Linked DNA regions of Canis lupus familiaris. The protein of the gene in region 4 interacts with the protein of the main gene of each other region in a pairwise test. Links are inferred from orthologs where the notes say so. Each region holds a gene or a part of one and is shown on either strand. Other genes may lie near its edges.

Region 1 (4,181 bases), on a different chromosome or scaffold from region 4:
ATAAATCCTAGGCTGCCTGGGTATGGGACTTTGAAGGGTACTGAAGAACACGGGGAAATGCCCACAAGAGAGCATCACATGAAAGAGCAAACCATACAGCTGCATGTACAGTGTGATAAGAATTCTAAGAAAACAGACCTGCTTATGTTTATTTTTTAATCTGTAAGGGAAAGCTAACGGTTAGTGGTGCGATGACTGTAGTGAGTTAAATGTTCTTGATTTCGTCTCTTAGCTTTCAAACGTCGCAACACGAACTGATACTATTTTTACAGTGAGGGGGAAATACTAAGTGTTAAAGCTCACGTTCCTCAACTGGGTCTCTAGGGGCTGGTCAGCTGGCGCGGGCCCTTCCCTCCCGGCTCTCCGCCCAGGGGGCCCGGGGCCACGTCTGCCCTCCCGCGGTCGGAGCGGGCGGGGGCGGCGCCTCTCCCCGCGTTTCCCCTGCTTCAGCCTCGAAGAATGTCACTTTTCTGGACCAGCCGCAGTCTTCACCCCACACTTTTCTAACCAAAAAAGTCTGGCTTTTGGCGCCCTACCTCGGGTCGGGCTCCCCAGATGCACTTTTCCCCGGGATCCGCGCAACCCTGTCCAGCCTGCCTCCGCCCGGGATCCGCGCTCCCCGCCCGGTCCGCAGCGCCCTCTCCGGGATCCGCGCTCCCCGCCCGCCCCGCTGCACCCTCCCCTCCCGGGATCCGCGCTCCCCGCCCGCCCCGCTGCACCCTCCCCTCCGGGGATCGGCGCTCCCCGCCCGCCCCGCTGCACCCTCCCCTCCCGGGATCCGCGCTCCCCGCCCCCGCCCGGTCCGCAGCGCCCTCTCTCGGGCGGCTCCGCGCTCCCCGCCCGCCCCGCTGCACCCTCCCCTCCCGGGATCCGCGCTCCCCGCCCGCCCCGCTGCACCCTCCCCTCCGGGGATCCGCGCTCCCCGCCCGCCCCGCTGCACCCTCCCCTCCCGGGATCCGCGCTCCCCGCCCGCCCCGCTGCACCCTCCCCTCCCGGGATCCGCGCTCCCCGCCCGCCCCGCTGCACCCTCCCCTCCCGGGATCTGCGCTCCCCGCCCGCCCCGCTGCACCCTCCCCTCCGGGGATCCGCGCTCCCCGCCCGCCCCGCTGCACCCTCCCCTCCCGGGATCCGCGCTCCCCGCCCGCCCCGCTGCACCCTCCCCTCCGGGGATCGGCGCTCCCCGCCCGCCCCGCTGCACCCTCCCCTCCCGGGATCCGCGCTCCCCGCCCGCCCCGCTGCACCCTCCCCTCCGGGGATCGGCGCTCCCCGCCCGCCCCGCTGCACCCTCCCCTCCCGGGATCTGCGCTCCCCGCCCGCCCCGCTGCACCCTCCCCTCCGGGGATCCGCGCTCCCCGCCCGCCCCGCCTACTTCCGCTCCCCGAGCGGCCCGGACTCTGCCCTGCTGCAGGGCCCCCGCCGGCCATGGCTCCGCTCCGTTTCTCGGCCAACGTGTCGTGGCTGTTCCCCGAGCTCCCCGGGCTCCCCGCGCGGCTGCGGGCGGCCGGCAGCTCGGGCTTCGAGGCGGCCGAGGTGGCCTGGCCGTACGCGGAGCCGCCCGAGGCAGTGGCTCGCGCCGCGCGGGAAGCGGGGCTGCGGCTGGTGCTCATCAACACGCCCCCCGGTGCGCCGCGGGGCTGGGGCGGGGGCGGTGGTGAGGCCGGGGCGGCGGGCCGGGGCTGAGGCCCGTTCTCTCTCCGCAGGGGACCGAGAGAAAGGGGAGATGGGGCTGGGGGCCGTCCCGGGGAGGCAGGCGGCCTTCCGCGAGGGGCTGGAGCAGGCAGTGCTGTACGCCCGGGCCCTGGGCTGCCCCAGGTACCCTCCCGTCCTCCCTCCTCCTCCCCCTCTCGCCCGGCCTCCTCCAACACCCTGCCCCGCGGTTGGGGTCTGGGAGAGAGCACCCAGGTTGCAGAGGGTCCGGAGTCAGTGCCCGGGCCCTTCACTCCTCTAGCCCCGAGCCTTTGTAAATCGCCTTTTGTGTCTTATTGGCCCGTGTCCTCAATTTGCTCCTCTTTCACGCTGGGACCCCATGCCCGGAGCTGGCCTGCCAGGGAGAGAGCAAAGCCAACCACCGAGTGGTCCACTTGAGTAAGGGTCAGTTTATGGTAGCTGTGGGAGCCAGCAGACACCTGTCGGGGAGCAGAGCCGGATACAGGTAGTGATGTTAAACTGGGTCTCAAAGGAATGAACAGGTGAGGGGCACTGGGGCAAGGATGCAGTGGCCAGAGACCGGCGCGCGTGCTCAGCAGAGTTCCCGAGGCTCAGACATTGCCTTTGGACTTGGGTGTGGCCAGGAGGGAGGAGGTGATGGCAGGAGGAGGCGCGGGGCTGATCAAATAAATGTCAAATCCCGCTGAAATGGGCTGAGCTGGAACTGGCAACGGGGGTCCTCACTGGTGAGTGGTGGGGGCAGAAAGCAGATGGGAAGGACGGAAGGAACAGATGCCGGAGGTGGAGACAGGCAGCTCGGAATATTTAAGGGAACGGGTCAAAGTACTTGTTAGCAAGTGAGGCCGACACACGTTTATAGCCCAAGGAGAGGGCGACTGGGAAGGAGAGGTGGAGAGGACAGTGAGGGGTCTCTGACGCAGGAGGATGGTGTGACCCTCAAAGGTGTCTGGAAAAGGGTTTGGCCTCAGGCTGACACAGGAGGATCAGTCAGGCCACTGAGCATGGCGGCCAGGTGACCAGCTATTGGGGTGCGGGCGGGTAGAGGTGGGAGCACAGCTGGAAGGGGCGCACCCAGGGAGCCAAGGAGCAAGGGCCCTGTTTTCAGGATGGACTCCCCAGCCCCCTCCAGTGCCATCTTCCCCCAGGATTCACCTGATGGCTGGCCGAGTACCCCAGGGGGCTGACCGAGCAGCAGTCAGGAGTGAAATGGAGACCGTGTTTCTGGAGAACCTGAGGCACGCTGCTGGGGTTTTGGCTCAGGTGAGGCCAAGGCCATAGAGCCACACACATATGCATGTGAACGCCTGTGTGTGCAGAGGGAGGGGGGCGCTGGCCCAGCTCAGAGGGAATGGTGAGGCGCTTCAGTGGCTGGCTGACAGCGGAGCTCTGCTCACTGGTCCACCGTGGTGCTAGGAGAACCTCGTGGGACTGCTGGAGCCCATCAACACCCGCATCACAGACCCCCAGTACTTCCTGGACATGCCCCAGCAGGGTAGGACTTGCAGCCCCGTGCCCCCTCCAGGCCCCTTTGATTCTTGGGTTCCCCCTGGGGCTCACGGCCCCCTCCCCGGGCTCTCTCCCAGCGGCAGCCATCTTACAGAAGGTCGGAAGACCCAACCTCCAGCTGCAGATGGTAAGTGGAACAAAGGGAGTGCTGCTCAGGAGGCCCGTGTGCTCCATGTCTGGGGAGGACGGGCCGCAGGGTGTGATCCAGTATTCTCTACCCAGGACTTGTTCCACTGGCAGATCATGGATGGGAACCTGACAGGAAACATCCGGGAGTTCCTGCCCCTCGTGGGTGAGAGGGGTCTCTGATCTCCTTCTGGTCTGCTGTGCTACTCCTGTCCTCCCCCCAAAATGTGTCCATCGGGCCTCAGCTGGAGCCTGGGTCCCACACCTGCCACATCTGTCTGTCTCCAGGGCACGTGCAGGTGGCACAGGTCCCGGGCCGAGGGGAGCCTGACAGCCCTGGAGAGCTGAACTTCCCCTATCTATTCCAACTGCTGGAGGACGAAGGCTACAAGGGCTTTGTGGGCTGCGAGTACCGGCCTCTAGGTGAGGGGGTGCTGGGGCTCCGGGCCTGGCCCTGGGGAGGGAGCTCTGGAGGGACAGCTGCTCTACTGCTCTTCTCCTGGGGTGAATGCCACCGCCTCCCCCTCTCCTCAGGAGACACCGCAGAGGGCTTGAACTGGCTTCGTTCCTACTGGGAGAGGCGGGGCCGCCCACAGGCTGGCCAGTGAGGTCCTGCCCCACGCGCACTTGTAGGACAGTGCACCCAGCATCCTCAATCTCTAGAATTAAAGAGCTGCTGCTGAACGTCTCTCCACGCGTGTGTTATTGGGTGGGCGGGGGCGCAGTGTCTAACCCTGCAGGCTCCGGCTCAGGTACCCCAGTCTCTGGCACCAGTGCTGCAGTGCACGTGGGGGGGTTTGAGCCCACCTCCTCATTTACACACCAGAAACCAGAGGTCCGAGAGCAAAGGGACTTGCCTGTGGTCACAGGGGCTTCAGAGG
Region 2 (4,269 bases), on a different chromosome or scaffold from region 4:
TTAAGCACCTGCCTTTGGCTCAGGTCATGACCTCAGGGTCCTGGGACTGGGTGCCCCCAACCCCAGTCGGCTCCCTGCTCAGCGGGGGAGGCTGCTTCTCTCTCTCCCTCTGCCCCTCCCCTGCTCGTGTGCCTGCACCCACGTGTGCTCTCTCTCAAAGATTTTAAAGAAAATCTTTAAAAAACATAAAAAAATAAAACCTCTCATTTGTATAATCCAATTACAAATCACAAGAGAATTTAAAATTTGTAATGATAACGAAGCAAAAATAAGTCACCTTTTCGTGAACTTCTGCTTTGTATCAGATACTATAAATTCTAGTTTAACTGTGTTATTTTAAATCCTCAGATGATCTCCATTCTATAGACAAGGAAAACCCCTCAGAAGTGGTAATGCGGTCAAGGTCAAAGAGTAAGTCAGCAAAACTCTAATACGAACTCGGATCTATCTGACATCAAGATCTGTGCTCAGTCCCATAGAAAACGCTACTTTAGCATTTCAACTACATGACAGTCAAAATGAATTTTGTGGGCAAGCTAAAGAAACACACAGTTCAGACTCCTACACTATGACCCACTGAACATAAAGAAGGCTTCCGTAGCCCATCACCTTGTATGCCGCATGGCCACATGGAACGCACCAGAGGCTCAGGAACCTATATTCATCACCCGTGGGTATGAAAGCGTGGGGTGCGAGTGTGGGGTGGGGAAGCACGGGGGAAAGGACAGGCCCTCAGGAGCTGCAGGATCCTCAGGGATGCTGGGTCTCTGATTTCTTTCCATGATACCCTTTTCCCCCCAGTCATACCCCCAAACCCAGATCCTCCTCCACCGCTACTTTTCGAGGACAAAAAAAAAAAAACCTAGTGGCATGAGAAACATTTTACGTAGATAGCCTAACCACAGCTAGAATAAATGGGATCAAGGCACGTATTTTCTTGAGGACAGACCGCATGAAGGCCAGCCATTAATATCAACTGCACAAGTTTTTTTGTTTTGTTTTGTTTTGTTTAAAGTAACAAATGCAACTTTAATTGATTTCTGGATAAAAACTACTCAGTGCAGGTCAGTAACCATGGCAGCCCCTGCTCTGTTGGAGCCATCTTCAGGCTCCAACAGCCTCCAAGACCATCTGTTGGACGGTCTTCAGGACCTAGGTCAACGGGCTATTTGCATTATCTCATGTCATCCACAGTATTAGAAAAACATTAGATCAATTTAGACGAGATGCGCTGCTGGCAGCCAAGCCTACATCTACAGAGAGGGTGACATCCGGGCTTAAGCGCACACCCCATTGTACATTTTAATCATGTAACGTAAAAAAAAAATAAAATAAAATAATCGTGTAACGTGTAATTCATTCCGCACTCGTAGTTCACAGTATGGTATCCCTGCAAGAGAACCGGAACGGCTGTATTACATTCATTTCATAAAAGGGGGAGAAGGCCTGTGAGGTTCTTTCAGAGCACGACAGGCGTAAATTCGTACTCGTTTTAACTGTGATTTTGCTCCAAGTGTTGACCTCCTCGTTTCCAAGGCACTGACTCTTTCCTTGCTTTGAGTCAAATCCTTCACAAAAACAAAACAAAACAAAACAATCGGATAAACCAAATACTGCTCTATGAAAGAACAACGGTTAATTTTTTTTGGGGGGGTGGGTGGGTAGGGGGAAGGAACCAGACTACCAAGCTACCACTGATCGATGAGAAGTCATCACTTTTATTGCAACAGATAAGCAGCTTTACAGGAAGGTCTATTTTCCTCACTCGTTTTCATGGGGGGGGTGGGGGGGGAATAGCATCATCCTGCTGGCGGGTGGGAATGCATCCTGCAAGGTGCGGCTTTGCAAGACTCGACATTCCAAGTTCAGCGGGGTCACTAAAGAGCCACACCAACCCCCAGGCTGCTGGGTTTTCCGCTCTGCAGAAAATTCTGAGCAGAACCAACTTCAGCAGAAGTCTAAATGCCGAAATCTACGTTCCGGACGCAAGGGCTCGGGCCAGAAACCACCATCTTCTCCACACCTACACCGACGTGCGTTAAAAGCATGTGTCTACGTCCTCCCCGAGGCACAGAAACTTTTATCCCAGTCTTGAATTCGGGAAAGAAACACACACGCGGGCCCCAGCGCCTCCTCCTCGGGTAAAAGCAAAGGGGGAAGCGGCGTGGACAGCAAGAGGCAAGATGCGGCACTGCCTTGTGTATGTGTGTGTGTGGTTTTATGGTTTTGGGGGGGTTTTTTTGGCGTTTGTTTTTTTTTTTTTTTTTTTTTTAAACGACTCCTTATGCACTAGCCCGTGAGCCGGAGGAGAGTCAGAGAGCAGAGGCGACGACGTCGGTGGAAGGTCTGGCCCCGACCGCGCGCGGCCGGGCGGGCGAACCGCCGACTTACTCTGCACCTGCAGGTCCATCTCGCGCATCTCCGTGAAGCGGTCCCGCAGGTCCATGGGCAGCTGCTCAATCACTGTCAAAGGGAGAGGCCGTCAGCGGGGCGGGGCCAACGGCGAAGGGCGCGCTGACGTCACTGCGTGCGTGCGTGCGTGCGTGGGGGGGGCGAAGGAGCCGGCAGCCCACAGCCCGGCTGCCAGTTACCGTGAGAAAGAAACATCCCCCGCCTCCCCCTCCCTCCCGCCATCCCGCCCGCCCGGCCGCTCGCGCGCCCGCCCGCCCGCGGGTCCCCCAGGCGGCCCCCGCCAGCGCCGCCCACTCACTTTCCAGATAGTCCTCTAGGTACAACATCGCGGCCCTTAGAGCTGGGGCAACGAGGGGGTCCAGGGGTTTATTTGTGTCACTCGCTGTCGCCGGAGTTTTGTCCCTTCCAATATGGCGCCTCCGCTAGCAGCACCCGCTCGGCTTCGGCGGAAAAAAAAAAAAAAAAAAAAAAAGAAAGAAAAAAAAAAACCACTTTGGCGCCTGACGGCGCTTGCCTCACTGCCGCCCGGAGCCGTCATTGGCCGGCTGGGGCGATGACGTCAGCCGGCCGGAGTCCGCCCGCGCGGCTTTGTGGGAAGTGTAGTCCGGTTCCCCCCCACGGCGAGGATCGGCGCGCCCGGCGGTTACCGGCGTGGCAACTACGAAGACCAGGCGGCCTTGCGCCCCGTGCGCCGCGGAATCCGAAATGCGGTGCCTCTGTTTATTTGTTGATGCCGGCGCGGGGCATGACGGGAGTTGTAGGCGCCCGCGGAACCCAAGTAGGAGCAACTTTCCACCTGTTCCCGGCCGGCGTGCCTCGGTGGCCCCGGCGGCTGGGAGTCGCGGGTTTCCAGGCGGGCGGGGCAGGTGGAAGGTGTTCCAGCGCCGGAACGGCCAGCGGAGTTCGGGCGATCCGCATTGTGTAAGACAGAACTCCTGGCTGGAACGCATCCTTAGTCTCCGACTGCTCAAAATACCCACGAGGCGCCTGCTTGGCTTTCCTGCACCTGGACGGGTGGCCGCCCTCCACGCGCTCTTTACCTGCTTTTATTCCGCGGTCCGGCTCGTCGTCACCGTGATGTCATCGAGCTGAACGCACGAAGTGCACCCACCAAAAAAAAAAAAAAAAAAAAAAAAAAAAGCAGAACTAGAGAACAAGCAGAAATAACGGATGGAGACTTGCTGCTGTCGAATGAGCTGTTCTAAGAATGACTTCAGGCGGTGTTGAGTAAGCAGCCCGCCCCCAGCTGTCTACACCCGCGGGAGGGGTCATCTTCTACCCCGGGACCCCTTCCCCGCCCCGTGATGGATTCGGTCCTTCACGGCTCAGTTTTCTTTTTCTTAAGAACATCTGCACGCAGCACAGGTCGAGAGCATCTTTCTCTCCCACCTGCCTTAGCTCTCTGTTCGTTTTCCTGGGAAATGTGTCTTCAGTTCGCCATTCAGTGTTCTATTTTCACTTTTTTTTTCTTTTTTTTTTTTTTTTTTTCAAATTGGAGTCGAGACATTTGATGCATTTTTGAGTTTTCTCCCTTCCGCCCTCTTCTACCCAAGACTTTTTCCACCGCTCATGGTCAGGATGCTCACCTGTCGTGTTGGTGAATGTCAAGGGAAACCCACCTCAATTCTAATGATTACCTAGTTTACTTTCTGTACTTTTATCTAAAATCTAGGATTTTCGGGTTTCCTCCCTCCTACACTCCCTTCTTCGTTCCTTCCTTCCTTCCTTCCTTCCGGCTGCCTTTAAGATCTCTTGGATATTTCTGTGGTTTCTCAGTGGTGAATCTAGGTCCATAGTCATTTCTTTGTTTCCTTCCTTCTTACCATTCAAAAAAAAAAAAAGTTCAAACCATGCTTA
Region 3 (4,039 bases), on a different chromosome or scaffold from region 4:
CGGATTGTGCGGGGGAATATCCAGGAGATAATTTGCTAACCAAGTCCTTCCCCCTTCCTAGCTATCAAATCTGTTGCAATCAGAGGTGCCTGGGTAGTTCAGTTGGTTTAGCATCTGTCTTTGCTTCATGATTTTGGGGTCTTGGTATCCAGCCTGGAGTTGGGCTCTTTGCTCAGCAGGTAGTCTGCTTCTACCTCTCTCCCTACTTCTCCCCCTTCCTCTGCTCCTGCTCTCTCTCTGTCTCATTCATAAATAAATAAATAAATAAATAAATAAATAAATAAATAAATAAATAAATAAAATCTAAAAAAAAAAAATATGTTGCGGGATCCCTGGGTGGTGCAGCGGTTTGGCGCCTGCCTTTGGCCCAGGGCGCGATCCTGGTGACCCGGGATCGAATCCCACGTCGGGCTCCCGGTGCATGGAGCCTGCTTCTCCCTCTGCCTGTGTCTCTGCCTCTCTCTCCCTGTGTGTGTGACTATCATAAATAAATAAAAAAATAAAAAAAATCTGTTGCAATCATAGAGATCTCTATTGTTGAGGTGAGAAGGAGGTGGATGTGGGCACGAGGAGGAGGGGTAGGGAGGTTGGTTCAATGTCCAATTTCCCCCATTTCCTGCTTTCCCCTGGAGACCTGGTTGACCTTTTCTGAGTATTCCCCATTCCCTCCTTCCCCGGGGGCATTGGGCGAGCAACAACTTTGCATCCGTTTAGTCCTGAGGTCCTTAATTTCTTCATCTGTGAAAGAAGGGGGATCGAATCCGGTTCTGGTCTCCAAGATGCTTTGTTGGCGTGTCTGGGTGCTTGGGAAGAGGCGGTCTAGTGAGGGGTCTGTGGGAAGACTGGCGGTATAGTGGGCTTTTCTGGAAATCGCCGAGCGAGGCACATCCTTTATGCTTTTATTTATGGAGTGTTATCTATGAATGTCACCCCTCGTGATCTTCTCGGGGCCAGAAGAAGGGCTCATCCTAAGAATGCCATCCCTTCGTGGGGAGTGCCAACTCCCAACCCAGCGAAAACAACCCCGGTCTGTGGCTCAGTTAGTGGGGAAACATGTCAAGCACAGGGACCCAGGCGCGGGGCGCGGGGCGCCGGGCGCGGGGCGCGGGGCGGGGAGGGAAGCGCCCCCCTGCAGCCCGCGGTGTAGGCGTCTGACTTCGGAGGTCTCCAGCCGCCGGCGAGTTGCGAGCTGCGGCGGCGGACGGCGGCAGAAGGGGCGGTGCCAGGCCTGGGGGCGGGGCGGCCGGTCCCTATATAAGGCGGCACCGGGCGGTGCCAGCTCGCGAGCTGCTGCGGGAGACGGTGGCTTGGAGAGCGGAGGCGGGCGCGGATTCGCGGAGCCGGAGACCCTCGGAGGAGGTGAGGGCGTTGTGGCCGGCGAGGGGGCCTGGGCCGGCGGCTCGGAGCCCGGCCGAGGTGTCCGCCTCGTGTGTGTGTGTTAGTGTCCCAGCGGGTGAGTGTGTGCGTGCGCGTGCCGTCTTCACAGGTGAATGACGTGCGTGGGTCGGCGCGTGGGGCTGGGCTCGGCTCCCACGGGTGTCTCCGGAAGGTGCGCTTGTGCCGGAGGTCGGGCTGTGTCGGAAGCCCGGGGCGGCGGGAGCGCAGCAGAGCGGGGGATCCCCTGCCGCGCCCCCCGCCCTGGAGCCAGGGGAGGCGTGGACTCGCGCGCCCCAGGCCCCCGGCGGCGCGCGGAGGGAGCCCCCGGGCGCGGAGCCCCCGGAGGGGCGGGGAACGCCGAGCCCGGCAGGTTCACCGCCCTCCGCTCCCGGCGGCTGCGATCCAATCCGCGCCGTCTCCGCCCAGACCCCTGCGGCCGGGGTCCCCGACGCCTCCGCGTCCGCCACCGGCTGGGCGCTGAGGTCAGCGCGGGCGGCGTACCCCCCCCGGTCCTTGGGAACGTGTTGGGACACATCCTTTCAGGGCAATCGAGGAGGTGACTCACGGTGACAAGGAGACCCCGGGAAATGGGACGGGTGCGGTCAGAGCCCCGCCCGGGCTGGGGGACAGTGGCGCCCCAGAAGTCGGCTTCCTCCCCGCCCCGGGTGTCTGTGCCCCGATCGGCACAGTGACTGTTTGGCTGGCACAAAGTGTTCTCAGGGAAGCCGGGACATCGGGAGGTCCAGGACTGGGTGTCCGGTCCCCGCCTCGCAGCGCGCCCTCGGGGACCCGGAGCGGTGGCCCTGCGCGGGCTGGGCTCGCTCCAGCCGGCCCGTGGGAGAAGAACAGGGGTCGGACACACCTGTCCTCCTTCGCGCCCCGCCTGCCCTGGGGTCGGGGCGCCGCATTCCGCAGCGGGAGGGGAGACCTGCGCCGCGGGGCCGCGGGGCGTGCAGCCCACGCGCGGGGCGAGGGACCCGGAGAGGTCCCATCTGGAGGCTGGTCCCACCCTGACGGCCACATCCGGGGGCTCCCGGCGCCCCTCGCCAAACTGCCCTGTCCGAGGGCGACTGCTCAGCGCGCAGCGAGAGGACGAGCCGTCCTTTGGGCGCCGCCGCCCAGCGCGGGCCACCGTGCACCCCCCCCCCCGTCGGGGGCCCTCGGGGGACACGGGCGCCCGCCTCTTGCGGAAAAGAATCTTGGAATTGGGTTTGGCGCTTTGGGGTGCCCGGGCGGCTCCCTCCCTGCCCCCCCTTCCCTGCCTCCACGTCGCGGTTCGAGGACTGTCGAGCGGTTCTGTTTTCCTTGCTTTCGTCTATTTTTATTTTCCAGGGATCTGACTCATCCCGTGCTTTGGGCGTGGAGATAAGGTGGAGGGACCAAACCTCTGCGCGCCTCTGCGTGCGGAGTGTGTGTGTGTGTGTGTGTGTGTGTGTCACGGAGGCGCGCGCGTTTTTCCAACAGTGGCGGGGCTTTCGGAAGCCTGGCTGGCTCAGCGTGACGTGTTCGCGGCCCCCGGTCCGCCCCCCGGTCCGCCCCCCGCCTCCCCTCCCCACCCGAGGGTGACGCTGCAGCCCGAGCGCACGCAGAGTTGTGGCGGGCGGGGAGCGCTCCGCAGGAAACTGACTCATCGCTGCTCGCGGCGGCGGCTCGCGGCTCTGCCCACACGCCGACCCTGCGCGTGATTTCCTGGAGACCGGCGCCCCCGTCCGGCCCCGAAGCGAGTAGCAAGCCCGCCTTCCCTTCCCGCCTCGCTGCGCCGCGGCTGAGCCTGAGCCGCAGCTGCGAACGCCCCTGAAAAAGCATGACCCGTTGGCTCATCGCGGGGTGCTCAGTGCTTACTGGTTACTTCGGAATTAAAACTGGCTGAAGTCTAAGACACGAAGGCCAACCAAGGATGCTATTCTCGGTTGTTTGTGAAATAAGGGTTTATATTTGACTTTTCTCTGAACTGGGAGTTACGATAATGGGAATGAGATCAGATTTTGATGAGGAGCCTATGAGGGCCATAGGGTGGTAGGAGAGAGGATCCTTGCCTGGATTCTGGTCCCATCTTGAGCGCCTAGAAGCCTGGGAATACTCAGCCTCCTGGTGAAAAGCCAAGGCAGGCTCCTCCTCCTTGTGCCAGTGAGGCCATCCTGTGTATCCTCTCTTGAAAGGCACCCCAAGAGTGCCCATATGGGGAACTGCCAAACACCTGCTTAAATCCCCTTTATTTTATTATTTTTTAAGATTATTTATTTATTTATTCATGAGAGACACACAGAGGAGGCAGAGACACAGGCAGAGGGAGAAGCAGGCTCCCTGCGGGAAACCGGCTGTGGGACTCTACCCTTGAACTCCGGCATCAGGCCCTGCACCGAAGGCAGATGCTCAACTGCTGAGCCAACCAGGGGCTTAAATCCCCTTTAGTTTGAGTTATTCTGGGAAGAGAGGGACCTATCAACCTGTATTTTTTAAAAAGCTCCCTAAGTGATTCTGCTGGGCCTCTGGTTAGGAACACAAAACTAGAGAGGGAGTAAGGATGAACACCAGAGCACGGAACCCAGGATAAACAGGCCTGGGTTCAAATCCTGGCTGTGCCACTTGTGAGCCATGTGACCTCGGGCAAGTTACTTTACTTCTCTGAGGTCTTAGTTACTTCTTCTGTTAAAAAAAAAAA
Region 4 (3,500 bases):
TTGAAGTTCTGGATGTATTCATGCTCTAGTTTAGCCTGGAATTTCACTTTCTTCAAGGCAATGGAGCCAGGGAACAGCATGTCCATAAACTGACAATAGGCAGCCCCTGAGCACAACTGTTCAATCTTTGTCAGATTCAGCTGCAGAGACTCATTCATCCAGGCCAGCATGTCATGTCGACTTAGGTTATCACTGGTGATGGATGTTGAGTATACGTTCACTTTGGCTCTTGGTGGGACTGTGTCCACTGCCTGTGCCTGGCTTTGGTTCTGTCTTCATTTCATTCAAACCACCCAAACTTTTTATTCTATCTTTAAAAAATATTGCTGAACCAGAACACCTGGGTGGCTCAGCGGTTGAGGGTCTGCCTTCAGCACAGGGTGTGATCCCGGGGTCTGAGATCGAGTCCCATGTGGGGCCCCTTGAGGAGAGCCTACTTCTCCCTCTGCCTAGGTCTCTGCCTCTCTCTCTCTGTGTGTCTCTTATGAATAAATAAATAAAATATTTTTAAAAATGCTAACCATATTTGTATGTTTTTGTTCACTTTTGCAAGTATATCCATGGGATAAATTCACAGGGGTGAATTGCTCAGTTGGGTATTTTTCTGACATTCAAGTCCTCCTTGACATTTTAGCAATTTAGATGACTTTATGAAAATTAGCTAATATTTTAAAGGTATTAGTGCTCTTAATATTAATTCCAAAGTCACTGTATTATAATTAACCATATATAGCTATTATCTTTGATAAGAATATCTCATTTTTTATATTATTTCTTTCCTTTTCAGCTTTGCAGGCAATTACTACTTTGGAGAAATTATTAGAAGAAGATCCAAAAGAGAATGAGCTACTTACAGATAGAGATTCACCTGTCATGCTCCTCAGTATAGCTGCCCATTTTGCTCTAGAAGTAATTCTTATGTATTTATCTACAAGATTTTTACCTCTTTTCCATTTTGAGAGACAATTAATGGAACTCTTTTAGAGGAATTTTCTACAAAGAAAAGAAATTAGTTGGTAGTTGGTGTGAGAAGTAGGATGAGAAGTTTGTTTGAGATGGAATGAATGAGAATGCTTATATGCTGATGGAAATGACCCAGTAAGAACAAAAAATTGACAGTGTGTAAGAAAAAAGAGAATTGTTAGAGCAATGTCCTTAAACAAGCGAGAGGTGATGGGCACAAGTGTATAAATTCAGGGATTGGCTTTACAAAAGAAAATGGTTAGTTCATCCATGAAAGCAGTTGAGGAATTAGAGTATGTGGTATGGTTCCTGGTGTACGAATAAATGTGGTAGTGGGAATCTGGAAGCTTTTTTCCTCACTGCTTCAGGTTTTTCAACAAAGTAGGAAACAAAGTCATTGCCTGAGAGTGAGAATGGGAGAGGAGGTGTTAGGGAGTTTGAGAAGATAAGATAAGGTGTAAACTAATCATGCAGGAAGGCAAGAAAGCAAATGACATGGTAGTGTGGGGTGCTTGCTTGCCCAGTAAGTATTAAGGCCTATTTGATGAAGTTTTAAAATAAAGAAATAGTTGTACAGGTTTTTATCCAGCCACCTTCAGCTCCATAGATATAGGCACAAAAGTCAGTAGAAAGTTGAATTTAACCAGGTTTAAGGTTTTGCTGGATGAATACAATGGAGCAAAAGAGGAGTAGCAAAATCAAGAAACAAGGAAGTGGTTATAATTAATCCCCATGGAATTTAAACTAAACATGGAGGAGGACATCAAGGGGATAAAGGACAGTGAAAAATTTGTAGCATGAATGGATTGGAGGTCTAAGTGCAGTTGAAGGATTGCTGGAGTAATAGAAAGGAGTGAATTAGAAAGGTAGGAAATAGTAGTCAATAGAATACATGAGACAGAGCAGGGTGCAGGACTAGAATGAGGAAGTGAGACACTTAAGGAAGCACTCACTTTCTGAGTCATGCAAGTGTAAAGTTGGTTCTTGCAGGAGTGGTTTTCAAGAAAATAACTTTGCAGTAGATAAGTCATCAAGAAATGAGAAGAAATGGCCTAAGAGCTGGTGGATCAGCACAATGAGGAATGGTGGGTGATACAGTCTGATGACAGGAAATTCGAAGCTAGGGATTTAGGGAGGAAAAAGGAAGAATAATTTTAAAACATCAATGAAGAACAAAAACTACACCTACTTCATCTCCAGGCCTAGGAGTAGAAGGGAGACAAAAGAAAAATTGCCACTACATGAGGGGGTTCTTTGGAAGCAATCCTTGATGGGATCTAGATTTCTATTACAGAAAGAATGTGGAGGGAACTTTCAGGGAAGAGGTTGCTCATAGAGAAGATTTTGATGATAATGAACTAAACTTCAGAGAGTGTAGTAGAAAGATTGGGGGAGTAGGGGAGAAATGGGAAAAGAGTAAACGGGGGATTTATAGAGCTTTATGGAGACTGGGGTGCTAGAAATAATCTGGAGTCTGGGGTTCTTTCGGTTACTGCTAATGAACAGGGATAAAGAGCACAGTATTAATCCTAGTGCATTCATGGCAGTGTTGGCAAGTCTATGAGTATTTATGGATAGTGAGGAGTGGGTTTCTGGGGCCAAAATGAACCTATTCTCCTTTTGTCAATGAATTGTTTCTTCATTCTACCATCTTGAATTAGCTCTTTTGATAATATAAAATGAACAAATTCAGATTTTTTTTCTTGTCCTTGAAAGGACAGGAATATAGGTAACATTTTGTAAGTATCACTTTGAGATGTAATTTAACATATTATATTTGTCTTTTTTAGAATGGACAACAAATTGTGGCAGGAAAAGCTTTGGAATATTTAGCTCAATATTCAGAAGATCCACAACAAGTCCTTACAGCTTTAAAGTAAGTAATTCATATCCTGTAGATGTGGAAGGATTTCTTGTTAATCTTAATCTTGGTCTATAAACTTTGTCAAAATAGTATTGATGTGATGTCATCAGGCCTACTATACCAATTGTTATTTTAAATTTTTTCAAGCTTTATTGAGATATAATTGACAGATAACATTGTATAAGTTTAAGGTGTATAACCTGATAATTTGATACATGCATATATTGTGAAATGGTTAACACAACAAAATTAGTTAAATTATTCATCACCTCATGAAATTACTATTTCTTTGTGTGTGGTAAGAACATTTAAGATTTAGTCTCTTCCCAACTTTCAAATATATAATACAGTCTTGTTAACTGTAGTCACCATGCTCTACATTAGATCCCCAGAACTTGTGCATCTTATAATTTGAAGTTTGTAACCTTTGACCAACATTTCCCCACTTCTTCCACACCCAGCTTCTAGCAAACACCATTCTATTCTGTTTCTATGTTTTGCTTTTTAATTCTTAAAGATTCAATACATGAGTGAGATAATACATTATGTCTTTCTTTGTCTATCTTTCCACAATGCCCTCAAAGTCCAATAATGTCACAAAAGGCAGGATTTCCTTCTTTTATATGGCTGGTTGGCTCAGTCGGTTAAACATCTGACTCTTAATTTCAGCTCT
Region 5 (3,500 bases), on a different chromosome or scaffold from region 4:
GTCTAAAAAAGTGTTACAATTTCGTTGATGCAAATGTCCAGGAACTTTGGGCTAATTTGTCAGAACTATGGAACTTCTGAAGCCAAGTTCTCACTAAGCTAGTGATATTGAGGGCCTCCTCAGTTTGGGGGATCCCATAGTCAGACTAAGCTGATTAGAGTCTTGTAGCTGGAGGACCTGCGAGGGCCCTGACCTGGTCCTGTGGTGTGCCAGGACTTAGCGGTTTTGTGCCCTACCAAGCTACCCTCAAATGGCAGGTGAGGGAACTAAGAACTTAGAGGTCTGGAGAGTCTGGAAATTTTTGCTTAGCAGTCCTCCCCCCACCCCTCTGCCTCCCCCCCCCCCTTTTTTTTTTTTTAATTTATTTATGATAGTCACAGAGAGAGAGAGAGAGAGAGAGAGGCAGAGACACAGGCAGAGGGAGAAGCAGGCTCCATGCACTGGGAGCCCAATGTGGGATTCGATCCCGGGTCTCCAGGATCGCGCCCTGGGCCAAAGGCAGGCGCCAAACCGCTGCGCCACCCAGGGATCCCCCTCTCCCCCTTTTAAAAAAGATTTTATTTATTTATTCATGAGAGACAGAGAGAGAGAGAGACAGAGACACAGGCAGAGGGAGAAGCAGGCTCCATGCAGGGAGCCCGATGTGGGTCTCGATCTTGAGACTCCGGGATCATGCCCTAGGCCGAAGGCAAGTGCCAAATAGCTGAGCTACCCAGGGATCCCCATCCCCTGCCCTTTTTTTAAGCTCTGGTTTCTGTGGGAAATTGTTTGCAGTCTGTTCTGCTACATGTCAGTGTTGATTTGATACAAACATGTTTCAGTTACTTTCCTTCAAATGCAGTTGGTGTACCAGGAAGATGTGGCCATAGATACGTTTCTCTGGGCTCCTGCTCACTGTGTGGTAGTGCCCATGGGAGCTGGGGGTTGCCGTCCTTTGGAGGGGCTGGGCCTTATCTGCAGGCAGAGACTGGGAAGGCCAGTGAGTCTGATGGAGGGTGGTTTTGGAACCCCACACTTTAACCGACGTGAACTGAAATGAGAGGAAATGTCAGAGGAGTAAACAAAGGGTGGATCTAGGCCCTCAAAGAGTGTGTGGGTGGGGTGGGGGGTAGAGAAGATGCCTTTCTTCTGGTCTGGGATTTCTCATCTGTGGTTCTGCTGACATTTTGGGCTGGATAATTCTTTGTTTTGCAGGACCACAGCCTTGTGGGATGTTAAGGGACATCCCTGGCTTCTGCCCACTAGATGCCGGTAGCAAACACATGCTACCACTCCCTCTTTTGACAGCGGTGTCTCCGGATGTCGCCAAGTCCCTGGTGGAACTGACAACCACTTGTTCTAGCCCAGTGCTTCTCAGACTTTATGCCTCTGAAACCCTGAGACTGTGTAAAAGGGCGATTCTGATTGGGCGTCTCTGGAGTGCAGCCTGAGGTTCTGCATTTCTTTTTAGTGCTTGCAAGCTGCTGTGTTGCCAGCCATTCCTGGAATAGTCAAGCTCCAGTCCGGGTGAGGACGAGGCCCTGACACAGTCAGTGGTTCTGTGAAACTGTTTCGTGGGTCTTCTGAGGGCCTTCAAGGCTTGACCCCACCTTTATGTACCTACCCTCTGTGGTAGGCAGACTTCTGAGATGGCTTGCAAATCCCTGGCCCCTGGTGGACCACACTTTCTCCCACTTAAATACCAACGAGGTTTTGTGGTAGCAGGATTTTGCCAACATAATTAAGAACTGAAATCAGTCGACCTCAAGATGGTGGGCCTGACCTCTCAGATGAGCATTTTGAACCTAGGTGGCTAGGTCAGATAGAACAATCAGCCACATAGAGCAGGAGAAGGATTCTGCATATGGGGGATTGTCCCTTGTTGGCTTTGGAGGTGGAGAGGGCCACATGGCAAGGCATGTGGGCGGGTTCTAGGAGGTGACAGCAGCGCAGGACTGACAGCATGTCCTCCAGCCATGAGAGTGTGGAAGAGGATCCTAAGGCCCAGATGAGTTTGGAGCTTGATCTCAGTGTTGATTTGAGCCTATAAGATCCTGATCAGACAACCTGTGGGTGCCTGGCCTTCTGCCCCCAGAACCTGGCCACTACTATGGGATTTTAGCTGCTAAGTTGGTGGTAATTTGCTACACAGCAATAGGAAGCTAACATGCCCCTTTTTCTCAAACAAACCTACATGCTGTCATCTTAAAGTATACTTTTCTCTTGTTAGTGTTTAGTTTTTGTTTATTGCCTCTCCTCATTTCCAACGAAGGACCCAGCATCCAGCCTTTGTCCCCAGGGCTGAGTTCGGGCCTCGTTGGGGGGTTGGTGTTCAGTGAGTGAGTGTTAGACAAGCCACTCACCTGTTTGGCACAGCTGCTGAAGGTTCTCTTTCCTTTGGGTGTGACCTGATCAGTTGGAAGAACGAGCAGAGTGGATCCGCTCCAAGTCCCAGGTTGTCCAGGTGGAGCGAGAGAAGATACAGATGGAACTGAGCCACAAGAGAGCACGAGTGGAGCTGGAGCGGGCAGCCAGCACCAGTGCCAGGCGCTATGAGGTGGGTGCAAGGAGGTGGCTCTGGCCATTAGGAGCTCTGAGGAGGGTGCAGGCAGCTGGCTCTGGCATCATGGCATTGTGCACACAGCCTGCCAGGCCATACGGCATGTGAGCCTCCTGGCTGGGAGCCTGGGTGCTCAGCCTGTGGGGTGCTAGGGCCTGCCTTCTTAGGCCACAGATAGCAACTATGCATGATGTCCTTGAGGTGGGCAGTGTACAGGGGACAGCTGTCTGCTATGTCTGCCTAGGGAGGTGCTGGTTCTGGTGGGCCTTCCTCTGCTGAGCTGCCTGTTTTCCCTGCTACCCCCAAACCACCTGCCCTGAAGAACTGGGTTATAAATCCAGCATTTTCTTTTAAATATTTTATTTATTTATTCATCAGAGATACACAGAGAGAGGCAGAGACACAGGCAGAGGGAGAAGCAGGCTTCCTTGCAGGGAGCCTGATGTGGGACTCAATCCCAGGACCCCAGGATCATGTCCTGAACCAAAGGCAGATGCTTAACCACTCAGCCACCCAGGTGCCCCCGAGTGACAGATTTAGAAAGTCACCGGTTGTGTAAAGGTCTCAGATCCAGGCCAGACCAGTTTTGTTCACATGGTTATAGGGCCTAAGACCAAGGATTAGTCTTGGGAGTACTTCCTGTTGTCCCTGGCTTAGCCAGGGCAGGCTGTGAAAGTGCAACCCTCCATTACCTAGAGAAGGTACTAGGTTTTTACTGAGGGTGTAAATCTCTTCTTCTGCTTTATCAACAGCACTTTGCCAGGGGTTGTCAATAAGTGCTCATCATTTGCAGAAATGCTGCCAAGACTCGGGCAAAGCACTGGACCAGAAAGTCTCTTATCTGCCTACGCTTTCCCCAAGGGTGGATATCTGGCCCCATTCTTGCCTTACGTGGCATATTTGCACACTTTCTTAGTTACGTGGCATATTTGCACACTTTCTTAGTCTTGTAAGAATAGTG
Region 6 (4,068 bases), on a different chromosome or scaffold from region 4:
CCTTTTCTTCCAGTCTTATTTTTTGGCCTATTTTCAAAGCATTGTTAATAAGCTATCTTTGAAAACCTAAGGCTTATTTGAATCCTTTATTCTAGAAGTTTGTCCTCTGGGTATGTATTCAAAGAAAAAGAAAACACCAATTCAAAAAGCTATATATGCACCCCAATGTTTATTGCAGCATTATTTGCAATAGCCAAGATATGGAAGCAGCCCATGTGTCCATTGATAGATGAATGGGTAAAGAAGGTAAAGAAGGTATACATTATTAGAATACACACACACACACACACACACACACACACACACTGGCCTATTAGCCATAAAAAAAGAATAAGATCTTGCCATTTACAACATGCATAGAGCCAGAGTATATCATGCTAGGTGAAATAAGTCAAAGAAAGACAAATACCATATGATTTCACTTATTTGCAGAACCTAAAAAACAGAACAAATGAACAAAAAACAAAAACAGAATCATAAATACAGAGAACTGGTAGTTGCTGAAGAAGAGAGAGTTGCGGTAATGAGTGAAATAGTCAAAGGGGATTCAGAGGTACAAACTTCCAGATATAAATAAATTCAGTAAGGCACAGGGATGAAAAGCACAGCATAGGGAATATAGTCAATAACATTGTAGTAACATTGTATGATGACAGATGGTAACTATGCTTATCATGGTGAGGACAGTGTAATGGATAGAATCGTAGAATCGCAAAAAATAAAAAAATTTAAAAAAAAGAATCGTTGAATCGCTATGTTGTTCACCTGAATCTAATATTAAGTTATACCTTAACTACAGTTCAAAACAAAGAAGAAGAAAAAGTTTGGCCCCTTGTTGTTGTCTCCCTGCCTTCCTGTAATGTATTAATCCCCTTCAAAGGCAATTCAAGGTATTGAAAGAAAAATAAAATTATTTTAGCCACTCTGTTGTTACCTATCCTATATGGAAAATAAATTCTTCAATTAAAATTAAAGATTAACGAATGATGATTAGTGTGTATCCTCTCGTTTCTGAAGATGATATAGCTATTCTTCAATGGTAGCTCTCAAAGATGGTATTGAAGGGTACATGCAATAGAAAGTCAAGTTTAAGACGTTTGTAAACCTCTGCTCTCCATCCCTGTTAATGGCCTTCCCGGTGTTAGAGATTTGTTTAATGATCAACAGTGGTTTCTGTTCCTACCACCGAGTCTTTCAGAAACTAGCGTAACAAGTCAATGTTTAACCGGATTCTTTGGGTCTGAAGTGGCAGAGTAGGAGCTAAAGGGACGTCTCCATGGAAACCAGCCTCCCAGGAAGTGGCCAGAGGGTTTACTGTGTGGTGGAATAAAGCTAGAAAGATGCCATGAAGTGCTTTGTGAAGCTGGGATAAAATTCTGACCTACCTTAATTAGAATAAGCTAAATTCAAGGCCCCAAACCACTTCCCTCATGATTGTACTTTGAATATCTTTACCTTGAAATGGGCCTCAGCCACTCTAAGGCTCACCCTCGGGTGACCAGAGTAGCACCCTTGCAAAACAAAGAGGTAGAGACTCCCTCGGCCAGTCCCGTGGATTTTGCATTGAATCAGAATCTGGAAGAGAAGAGTTCCTATTTGTTCGCAAGACTGCAGGACCGGAATAAAGCTTTGGAAGGGCAGCTGCCACCTCTACGAGAGACCTGGTGTGGAAGATACGCTGCAGGTACGTGTAACACCTATCATGAGATTTGTGTATTTGGACCAATGGAAGCTATTAACAGATGTACTTGACTGTCCGTCTCCATAATCATATCAGAAAATTTCTAAATTGCTGACTGTAAGGGAACATCTTTCAAGCTGCAAGCGCATGTCTGTCAAGTAGTCTGGGTGCATTAGAATGAGTGTGTAAACTCTGCACCCAAGGGCTTTTTACCATTCCACACGAGAAGAAAAAAATCGTTTGGTTTCAGCTTATAGTGCTTTCAATGTTTACACCTAGCTTTGCCAGATGATTAAAATTATATAGATAAGATGTGATAAATTATGACAATCATATGTTTCAGTTAGATTCTAAATTTAAACCATTCTCTCCAGCACCACTTAGTGCATCAGGCTTTGTTATTTTGAAAGCAACACTTGAGGAGTGAATTCACCCTAATGTGAATTTGGAAACCACCCCAAACAGAATTGATTTATTGCAGTACAGATGAGAGGATGAGTCACCCCCTCCCCAACCCCACATTCTTCATGCAGAATATGAACTAAGTTCTGTCATCTGGAGAACTAAGAGAATTTTTCCCATTATGACTGGAAGCTCTGTGCCTGGAGTGGCTATCAATTATCCTGGAATATTTTATAAGACATGTAAAATTTTTTTGACAATCACAATGACAATTAAGCAGAGATTCTAACTTGGGAAGAGAAATATGAGTATATAATGTATACATATGTTTATCTATGTAGTATATCTATGTATTTTTTTCTTTATTTATATTCTGGATCAATAACACAAGTAAGTTCCCATTATTAGTCAACCTGACCAGAAAGCTTTATATTCTCTTTTGGTATATCTGGTAGATCGTACCCAGACTGATTCTCATAGCTATTCTCTGTAGAACTGACCAGCTTTGACTGGGTAAATGGCCTATTTTTATGTTCTCCAATTTCATAAACATGTGGGGGGGAATTTTCCTCTAGTTTCATTGAAGAGTTCCTTTTTTATCCAAACCCTCTATCCAGAGTTTTAAGATTCTGGTAACTGAATAGTGAAACTGATTCTAATGCATTAGAGTCCTACATGGAAAATATTCTTATTTTTGAAATGACAAAATCACATTACAAATAACAAAGGGATGCTGAGCATTCTGATCACTAATTTCAGGAGACCCATACTCTAAGCCCAGCTCCACCAAATGCCAAATTATATGAGTTTGGGCAAATTATTGCATCAGTTTCCTTCACCTATAAATCAAGGATAAAAATAACTGCCCTGACACAGCCAATGCTGTTTTGGATGAATCAAAGTAAATAATGAGGTGTTATCACTCAAATCATAATATTAAAATAAGGAGTTGTTAGGCTACTAAAAAAAATGTTGCCAGAAATACTTACATATTTTTAATACTTACGGTTTCTAATCAAAAATGTTTTTTGTTGTCATTACTGTTGTTTCTGTCTTGTTCAATGTGCCAGCATCTCTTGAAAGAAAATATAAACATGGTGAAGTTTTTAAGGTGGTCATTCAAATGCTGTAAGGATAGAAACACATAATTACACAGGGATTTTTCCATTTACAATGCAAAGTGAAACTATAGGTTAGTCCATGCAACAATCTAGAAATTAGAATGCTTCCAGATTACTAAGAGGAAAAGACAAAACTTCCTTCATGCAGCGTTGGTCATGGTAGTAGTCCTAGCGCCCCATGATCATGTTGTATGATAGGGCGACTTGTGGGAATTTCTTCTCTAGCTGGGGGGACTATTTAATTAGGTACATACAATGCTAAACATTGCTACTTCTATCACAAACTCATGCTCCATTTTTTAATCATCTCCTATCTATCCACCATCCAACTATATCATCTGAGAAGAGAATTTATTTTCATTTCTTAAGGATATATTATTTCTGATTTCCTAAATTTATTTTGAATAGATTTCATGAAATTTAAACAAACGGAAAAGTTTCTATTTTTCAGACCAAATTCTATGTTTTAACAATATTTGTAGTCAATACATTGTTGATTTTTCCAATTTTCCTCTAACTATCAAACTAGAGAAGAATTCAATAAATTAAATCCTAGGTCTAAACTAATGTTTTACCATTGGCATTCATGTAGGACCCCTGCCTTATGTGTTTCATCTCCATATTCAACATATAGGTTGCACATATATAACTAAAAAGGTACCAAATCATATTAGTGAAGTCTAACGATTAACCTAATTTAATAGTCAATTTTTTAATGGTTTGTTTTTATTTCTCTCTCAATCCTTCAAGTGCCCAGGGCCATGTATTTTGACATTCCACTGGAACACGGAGAAACAAGTATTATTAAAAGGCATCCACCCCGAAGACTTCAAGTAAGATGAATTTAAAAGGCTTCATAAGGAA

Evidence for each region.
Region 1: the proteins of TEX11 (region 4) and HYI interact in binary tests that used the Homo sapiens proteins (3 or more experiments, as listed by UniProt). The two-hybrid records come from large-scale screens. The link is inferred for Canis lupus familiaris from reciprocal best matches to the Homo sapiens genes TEX11 and HYI.
Region 2: the proteins of TEX11 (region 4) and ING3 interact in a two-hybrid assay, tested with the Homo sapiens proteins (2 studies listed by BioGRID). The two-hybrid records come from large-scale screens. The link is inferred for Canis lupus familiaris from reciprocal best matches to the Homo sapiens genes TEX11 and ING3.
Region 3: the proteins of TEX11 (region 4) and CDKN1A interact in binary tests that used the Homo sapiens proteins (3 or more experiments, as listed by UniProt). The link is inferred for Canis lupus familiaris from reciprocal best matches to the Homo sapiens genes TEX11 and CDKN1A.
Region 5: the proteins of TEX11 (region 4) and MAD1L1 interact in a two-hybrid assay, tested with the Homo sapiens proteins (2 studies listed by BioGRID and IntAct). The two-hybrid records come from large-scale screens. The link is inferred for Canis lupus familiaris from reciprocal best matches to the Homo sapiens genes TEX11 and MAD1L1.
Region 6: the proteins of TEX11 (region 4) and CCDC198 interact in binary tests that used the Homo sapiens proteins (3 or more experiments, as listed by UniProt). The two-hybrid records come from large-scale screens. The link is inferred for Canis lupus familiaris from reciprocal best matches to the Homo sapiens genes TEX11 and CCDC198.

The regions. Positions count from the first base shown.
Region 1 is NC_049236.1:16,826,926-16,831,106, forward strand, and holds HYI (putative hydroxypyruvate isomerase), read left to right. Parts: upstream 1-1,381; 5' UTR 1,382-1,422; coding exon 1,423-1,621; intron 1,622-1,700; coding exon 1,701-1,812; intron 1,813-2,020; coding exon 2,021-2,152; intron 2,153-2,747; coding exon of another isoform or gene 2,748-2,813; coding exon 2,814-2,928; intron 2,929-3,081; coding exon 3,082-3,160; intron 3,161-3,251; coding exon 3,252-3,301; intron 3,302-3,396; coding exon 3,397-3,466; intron 3,467-3,588; coding exon 3,589-3,723; intron 3,724-3,834; coding exon 3,835-3,908; 3' UTR 3,909-3,988; downstream 3,989-4,181. UniProt on the Homo sapiens protein: Catalyzes the reversible isomerization between hydroxypyruvate and 2-hydroxy-3-oxopropanoate (also termed tartronate semialdehyde).
Region 2 is NC_049235.1:59,197,551-59,201,819, reverse strand, and holds the start of ING3 (inhibitor of growth protein 3), read right to left. Parts: upstream 2,801-4,269; 5' UTR 2,739-2,800; coding exon 2,711-2,738; intron 2,464-2,710; coding exon 2,392-2,463; intron 1-2,391. UniProt on the Homo sapiens protein: Component of the NuA4 histone acetyltransferase (HAT) complex which is involved in transcriptional activation of select genes principally by acetylation of nucleosomal histones H4 and H2A.
Region 3 is NC_049233.1:5,926,990-5,931,028, forward strand, and holds the start of CDKN1A (cyclin-dependent kinase inhibitor 1), read left to right. Parts: upstream 1-1,239; 5' UTR 1,240-1,359; intron 1,360-4,039. UniProt on the Homo sapiens protein: Plays an important role in controlling cell cycle progression and DNA damage-induced G2 arrest. Involved in p53/TP53 mediated inhibition of cellular proliferation in response to DNA damage.
Region 4 is NC_049260.1:55,268,688-55,272,187, reverse strand, and holds part of TEX11 (testis-expressed protein 11), read left to right. Parts: exon of another isoform or gene 1-269; intron 270-521; exon of another isoform or gene 522-611; intron 612-787; coding exon 788-909; intron 910-2,753; coding exon 2,754-2,839; intron 2,840-3,500. UniProt on the Homo sapiens protein: Regulator of crossing-over during meiosis. Involved in initiation and/or maintenance of chromosome synapsis and formation of crossovers.
Region 5 is NC_049227.1:15,036,169-15,039,668, forward strand, and holds part of MAD1L1 (mitotic spindle assembly checkpoint protein MAD1), read left to right. Parts: intron 1-2,395; coding exon 2,396-2,536; intron 2,537-3,500. UniProt on the Homo sapiens protein: Component of the spindle-assembly checkpoint that prevents the onset of anaphase until all chromosomes are properly aligned at the metaphase plate.
Region 6 is NC_049229.1:33,319,767-33,323,834, reverse strand, and holds the start of CCDC198 (uncharacterized protein CCDC198), read left to right. Parts: upstream 1-1,268; 5' UTR 1,269-1,461; coding exon 1,462-1,684; intron 1,685-3,954; coding exon 3,955-4,037; exon of another isoform or gene 4,038-4,042; coding exon of another isoform or gene 4,043-4,068. UniProt on the Homo sapiens protein: May be involved in tuning the metabolism, energy expenditure, and excretion processes.